Linked DNA regions of Schizosaccharomyces pombe. Changing the gene in region 2 together with the main gene of any one other region gives a genetic interaction. Each region holds a gene or a part of one and is shown on either strand. Other genes may lie near its edges.

Evidence for each region.
Region 1: of atg8 (region 2) and isp6, changing one suppresses a phenotype caused by changing the other (phenotypic suppression), as found in Schizosaccharomyces pombe (one study listed by BioGRID).

The regions. Positions count from the first base shown.
Region 1 is NC_003424.3:2,543,159-2,546,914, reverse strand, and holds the start of isp6 (vacuolar serine protease Isp6), read right to left. Parts: upstream 2,074-3,756; 5' UTR 1,566-2,073; coding exon 162-1,565; 3' UTR 1-161.
Region 2 is NC_003423.3:3,683,684-3,687,429, forward strand, and holds atg8 (autophagy-associated protein Atg8), read right to left. Parts: upstream 1,688-3,746; 5' UTR 1,583-1,687; coding exon 1,549-1,582; exon of another isoform or gene 1,468-1,548; coding exon 1,412-1,467; exon of another isoform or gene 1,246-1,411; coding exon 970-1,245; 3' UTR 598-969; downstream 1-597. Other genes in the region: rnf10 (ubiquitin-protein ligase E3), read left to right, coding at 1-399; cyclophilin family peptidyl-prolyl cis-trans isomerase Cyp4, read left to right, coding at 2,218-2,680, 2,774-2,916; SPOM_SPBP8B7.26 (uncharacterized protein), read left to right, coding at 3,441-3,525, 3,580-3,746. UniProt on the Schizosaccharomyces pombe protein: Ubiquitin-like modifier involved in autophagosome formation. With atg4, mediates the delivery of the autophagosomes to the vacuole via the microtubule cytoskeleton.

The DNA of each region.
Region 1 (3,756 bases), on a different chromosome or scaffold from region 2:
TTATAAAATATTTATTGTCATAACAATCATTATAAACTGTTTGTAAAGAACAATCATAAAAGGAGCAAACGTTTTCAAAAAAATAAAACAATTACTCGATGTATTGAAAATCAAACACCGACTTATTGAAAACATCGAATGCATCCAACATGAAGTAAAATCTATTCTTGAGCACCATTGAAAGCGAGAAGGTTAATAGTGCTGCTACCAACAGGAATAGACAAGAGTACATCGTGAATACCCATCTTAATGATAGCATCTTTAACTTCGCTAGCGCTGGCAGCAGGGTGTAGGCCAAGGTAGTAAGCGGACAAACCTGCAACATGAGGGGTTGCCATAGAAGTACCAGAGATGGTGTTAGTACTAGTATTTGAACCGATCCATGTAGACAAAATGTTAAGTCCAGGAGCGAAGATGTCAACACAGCTACCATAGTTAGAGAAGTAGGCCATTTGGTCGTTTATAGTGGAAGCGCCAACGGTGATGGCTTTCTTAGAAGCAGCAGGAGATGAATAGCAAGCGTCATCATACTCATTTCCAGCAGCAACGGCATAAATAACACCGTTGGTAACGGCAGAATCAACAGCCATATCCAAAACAAAGCTGTTGCCGCCACCAAGAGACATGTTGCCAACAGAGGTTTTCTTGCCGGACGATTTGTGATGACGAACAGTCCACTCAACACCGGCAATCACATCAGCCATGGTACCAGATCCACTGGAACGGAGAACCTTGACAGCAACGATTTCAGCCTTCTTTGCAACACCATAAGCACGGCTAGCAATGGTACCAGCAACATGCGTACCATGACCATTGTTATCCTCATCAACATCACCAGAGGGAATGGTTGCACCCCAAGAAGCGCGACCTTCGAACTCAACATGATGAATGCTTACACCGGTATCTACAACATAAGCGGTGATGTTGTCACCAGCGCTGGAATCGTAAACATATTTGCCAATATCATCGTATTTGACGGATTTGTGAGAGATGCGAGCAAGTCCCCAAGGAGCGCCACTTTGAGTTTCAAGTTTCTTAATGCTGACAACTTGATCACGCTCGACGGCGATGACATGAGGATGCAAGCGAATTTGCTCAACAATGTTAGAGCTGAATTGACCAGAATAACCTTTGAAAGAGTCCTCGCCAAAGTCATAAACATGCTTCAAGCCAAACATGTAATTACTATCACTAGTATCGTAGTACTCATCTTCTTGAGAAGCAATGTCCATTTGGTGCATCTCCGAGACCCAATTAGTATGGGCTTGGAATTCTTGTTCGCTCAAATCAGGCTGCAAAACAATGATATAGTGAGAGTCCAGTCCAGTGGTATCGGCGTTGGAAGCAGACAAGAGAGGAGCGGCATTAGGACCAGCATGAGGTTTGTGCTTAGGGGTAGCGGCTTCGCCGTGGGAGTCGTAGAAAGCGTTATCGAGCTCAGGACGGATACCAGCATGGGCAATGTCCGAATCAGTCGCTGGCATCACTGGTGCAGCACAGGCAGTAGAAGCGAAGAGGGCCAAACCTGCGGCGGCAGAAAAAAGATTTGAATAAGGAATTCTCATGTTGATGCTGAGAAGACGAGGCTGTTGGAGGGGGAAGTGATTGTGATTGTGGTTGGGGTAGTGATTGAAGGCGGTTAAATTGCTGAGATTGCTGAACAGTAGGCAAGTATCGTTGTTCCGTGTTTACTTATGAAAGAAAGACAAGGAAAACAGATGACAAAGACTATTGAAAAACTAACTATCTATCCCAAGTTCAGATAGGAAGAAATCGAGAGAGATGAATAAAAGAAAAAAAAAAAGAATTGTGGGCTATATACAAACTATAGTAAGTAGTATATGGGCGAACAATGGGATTAAGAGTTATTATAAAGAAAGGGAGAAAGAAACTATAATAATTCTCTAACAATTACTTTAATAAAATAAAAAATTGCAAGCAAATGAAAAACACAAAGCGAAAAAAAACGACTGTGAATGAAACAAAATCAAAACTAGTGGCACTGGTAAATTCAATTCCAATGCAACTTGTTCTAAGACGTTTGACTTTGTAACGAGGAGCGTACTGATACACGACTCAATGGGGGCTACCTCTTTCGTTTATATAGTCTATCCACCACCCGTACCCTAACCCTCGAACATCAACAAAGGGAGTTTGGACAGATAGAAGCAGAGATTCCGTAAAAAAGCAGGCAAAACTCAATTCCAAATCCATTCAATTCAATTGTAATATAATTTTTTTTAAAAAAATTCTGTTCATTTACTTCTCTGCTTTCTCCCTTGATTATTCGTCAAATGCCACTGTTCTGCATGCATCGCTGTATTAGCACTTTCTCAAGCGCGCCCTCCCTTTCGCAATTCGTTACTTGGCTGACTTAACGAGTCACGATATGTTCACTTGACGTCACCCCTCTAATCTAGCGATACGAGGTGGTTAGTGGAGGAACGGTGATCCATTGCCTGTGATTGGTCGATAAGCTCAAACAAGTGGTTCTTAGATAAACTTTGAAAGGCCGGATTGGTAAGGGCCACTCAACTGCCACTCTGTTCGGTACATTGAATGATAACGCTTCATGCGCATTGCGCTGCTTAGGGCAGAAAAAAGAGCAATTCAAAGATATGGAGGAACGGAAGCCGATTCACTGATAACTTGGTAATCCACGGATACACACATTGATCGGGACATACATAAAAAAAGAGGTTTGCAAAATTTCCAAATGTATGGAAGCAACAGCATATCCATATTCAACAATATGCACTCAATGTCATTTCATTTTCAGAAAGGTTTATTCTTTCCTTTCATGACTAGTATTCATTCTACACAAACAGTAAACTGAAACGAAAACAAATAAATTATAAAACACTAGCACAATTGAATGAACATGACTCTCGGTGTTCAGCTAACGCCCACTCATGTAAACAAGTGCTTGATGAAAAACATCCATCCATCCATCCATCCCCTGATAAGTGTTTGCTACATTACAACAGCCATTCTATCTTTATCAACAAATTGGTTGGAGACATTTATTTTAGAGGAGAGAAGATTGAGAGATTGTGTGTGCGTAAACAGTTAATTACCGATGCATCGTATTTCGGTTATTGTATATAAGAAAGAGTTGCTAGATGAAGCAATGAGGGACTTTAAAATTCCCCATTTTCACTATAAAATCCATTTCTTCTTTTCTATGAAACTTTACTTATTTGTATATTCTTATATAAATTGTTAAAGAAACAGCCTGTGGAGTGAGATCGAGCGAGTATTCGTAGCAATCGCTGGCTCTTTCCTATGTAACTTTTCTTCTATGCAGCCATGAAATTTAATGCAGTACAAGGGATTTAATCAAAGAGTTTTAATGATGAACAGAATGCGTGGATGGCATTTGCATTTCTTTGTATACGAACAAACAACATGTGACAACATTGACAATGTTTGAGATTCCCACAGTAAGAGAGATTGGGCGCTGTGTTGAAGCTCTTTCATCAATGCGCTCTCATTCCAGGTGTCGTTTGGACTAGACCATCACTAATAGTTCAACAAGTTGAAACAATTAGCAAACAATACAGAGAACAATGGCGTTATATTGGAACAAATGAATGACGGTTCTGTATTTTGGTGGCGCCGTACACCCAGCAATTTTGAATTTGGGAGCTTTTGTATATATTTCGTTATAAGTACTTGGTACTTTGGAAACGAAACAATCTCTAATCGCTAAATATCTTGCCATCATCGGAGCTGTTGCACTTATCACTTTATTCA
Region 2 (3,746 bases):
CAACGTAAAGCTCAAGAAATGAGAGAAGAAAGGTATCGACAACGGGCTGAACGTGATACAGAGGAACAGATATACTCCGAGTTAAATATGCAGAGACCTGTGCCAAAAACCGTAGTGCATGAGGACCCTGCTGAAGCATTCCCCACATTGGGAAGTCATCATCAATTTGAATCTACCGATGAGGTTAATACAGATGAGTCTACCTTATCTACTGCAAAGACTGTTTGGGGAACAAGAGCTCTTGCCAATATTCAAAATGACACCGATGATCAAGACGATCTTGATGGTTGGAAAGTTGACTGGGACAAAGTTGCTCAATTATCTGCACCTTCCAAAAACTCAAAAAACAAAAAAAAGAAGAAATTAGTTTTATTATCAACAGGTGCCGCCCATCGATAAAGATGGAGCATTCTCAGTGATGAAATGCTACTGAAATTTTTGAAATGCAGGAGTGGGCTTTATTTTGAAATATAGTTATAACACTTGTTGCTTGAATTATGAAAGTTTACGATTGACCAATTTTTTGGGGCATGTGAATAGTATTCGCTATTATGACAACCAGTTAATGTAAAAAAGGATAGAATCAGCTGATGATATATATCTACTTATTATTTATCAACATTTTAATATTATTAGAAAATCAAAATCAATTTTTTTAATTGATGGTTTTTATTAATTAACAAGGTAAAATAACTTTGTTGTCAAAGCAAACTAGTCATAAGCGTTCATCACATCTATTGTAAGACAAATCTGAAACATCCTTAAAATCGTGGTGGCTAACCTGAGAATGATATGTATAAGACGCGCGTAAAATAATCATAATGCAAAAGCAAAGAAACTTGAAAGCTAAAAAGCTAGAAATGCAGAGTAAAAAAAACATAAAGAATCATTCAACCATTGTCCACAAACAATTTTGCTGATCACAATTAAAAGAAGGCGGGGCCATCTTAAAACAGGCAAATTGTTGATCTAAAAAGGAAACACTGTTCCAAATGTATTTTCTCCTGAATACGTGATATACAAAAAGCCGTCCTCACTTTTATGCTCTTCGTATATCGTTGACATCAAGGCCGCTGTCGGGGGCAAGATTTCATCAATGAAAATAAAGATGGCCTTCTCAGGAGAAAGTTTTATCCGTTTGCGAATAACATATACAAATTGACCAACTGTAAGGTCAGATGGAACGAGATATTTCTTTTTATCTATTGCAGCAATATCAGATTTATCAACTTTCTCGCAAATAACCTGTTAAGTTAGCAGTTAAGTTTAAAACGTAATTTGTATTTTTGAAAGAAAAAGGTCAGACTTGTAACAATGGATTCACTTTTGATGACAAAAACAATGGGTGTTGTTCAATTCACCACTATTTTGCTCTGAAACCTGTTCTCTTTGACCACCAGACTCTACTTACAGGTATTCGATCGGGATATTTTTCCCGGATTCTTTGAGACTCTGTTTTTCGTTTCTCTGATTATTAATTAGCCTACTAGTTCCAGGTATTCTACAATGCTGTCCAAAAAACAACTTCTATAAGTTTTTGACACATACCAAAAGAAAAGTCGTCCTTGAATTGAGAACGCATGAGAACTCTCAAACTTCTTGCTTGAAGTAGTAACTCCTCTCTTCAATTGCTTCAAAATTCGGTGTTCTTTGTAAACGGTGCGTGAGTTATGTGGTATACGGTCTTGGATAAATAAGCGTACCCTTGGGTAACGTATACAGAGATATGAAGCAATCTTATGATACTATGATAAGTTACCTTATTTCGTAATAAATAAATACTTTACGAATCTTAAGCAGTACACAATCAAAAGGAATTTTTACTACTTCTTTATAGTATGATAGCCATAATTGGTATATACTCAATCCTTGGTACAACAAAAGTCACAACTCTTTTAGGAAGAAAAGCAAGAATGGAAATAAAGACGTTGTGTAAATAAATAATAGCACGCTTAACACGTAAATACCTTCCAAAAAAGGTTAGGAAATAGAATTTTGCAAATAATTACTATTTCTATCTTTCATTAAATAATCAAACCATTAGAAAAATAGTAGTGTTTGATGTAAACAAATAAGCGCTTCTTGAATTATTTGCTTAACATTGTGCTAAAAGTTGCTACAGCAACCAAAATCTAGCGAGTCTTGCTATTAAACCCCACCATAACTATTTATTTATCCTTTACCACACAACGAAGCTTTTAGTTTGTGAAAACAAAAATGAAGTTGTTCTATTTCTCTTTACTTTTTACTCTTTTCTTTGGGCTTATCTCTGCCAACCGTGGCCCCAAAGTTACAGACACAGTGTATTTCGACTTGCAACAAGGTGATGAGTTCCTTGGAAGAGTTACCATTGGATTGTTTGGTAAAACTGTTCCCAAAACAGCCGAAAATTTCCGCGCATTAGCCACCGGAGAAAAGGGATTTGGATATGAAGGATCTATTTTCCATCGCGTTATTCCCAATTTCATGATTCAAGGTGGTGATATTACGAAGGGTGATGGTACTGGTGGAAAATCAATTTATGGCAGCCGTTTTCCTGATGAAAACTTTAAGCTTTCTCACCAACGTCCCGGTTTGCTTAGCATGGCTAACGCTGGACCCGATTCCAATGGATCTCAGTTTTTCATTACTACAGTTAAAACACCTTGGTTAGATGGACACCATGTTGTTTTTGGTGAAGGTAAGAATTCATATTGTAGTTGTATATGTTTTATAAAAGTGACTATTTGTTTTCTTTTTCCTTTTTTTTGTTTGCTAATACTAATTTTATCAGTCCTTTCTGGTTACGATATTGTCAAGAAAATTTCCAAAGCTGAGACTGACAACCGTGATAAGCCTCTTGAAGATGTAAAAATTATCAAATCTGGGCAGTTGTCTCAAGAAAATGTTGAAGATGACGGAACAGATGAATTGTAATCCCTACTTTCTATTTATGAAAGTCATCAACATCTAGTGTTTATAAGATTTACTTGAAAAGCAATGATTTTACATTCTGTTAACATAAACGTTTATCATTGGAAGGATCACTTCTTGTGGTAGTTTGTTTGCATTTTCTGACAGCCATAGTTGTATAACTAATATACGCATAAAGAATGCGATTTTAACAAGTTTTCAATTGAATGAATATAGAACTCTACGTATATTATCCAATTTAGCAAGCGTAATAGCAATGCTGCAATTCTGATAGTAAGTATTGACAACAAACGCGAAGCTTATTAGCTGCTTACTATTTTGTTATGTTTTATCAAAAAGAACTCAAAGACATTATTTTTTCCTATCAGCTGGCTGATATTACTAGCACGTTGTGTAGTTGTTTACCCTATGGGCTCTTAGAAAAGCGGACTTAAGGAATTTCGAGAGTCGGAAGCTGTCCACCGCAAACATTTGGGTAAAATCGGTTTTTGCGTCAATTGTGAGAAATCAATTTCAAACTAATCGTAATGTTTGACTCAACAAAAAAATCACTGCATTCGATGTCGGATTCTGCGAACCGCTTCCAGAATAAGATTACATCGAAATTACCAGGTAAGCATATTTCCTTTGCTTTTTGAGACATTACTAACAAAATGGGATTTATAGGTGAACATGGCGAAGATGCTATGTATGATATTAGATCCGTTCATGGAACCGGGCCTCGTTTATCAATAAAATATGTCGATGTTACAAAATTGCCTCCTCCTCCAAAACATGCTTCACAGTTGCGTGCCGGTGGTAGTAGTACTGGAAGTACACCTAGAACGGCTAGC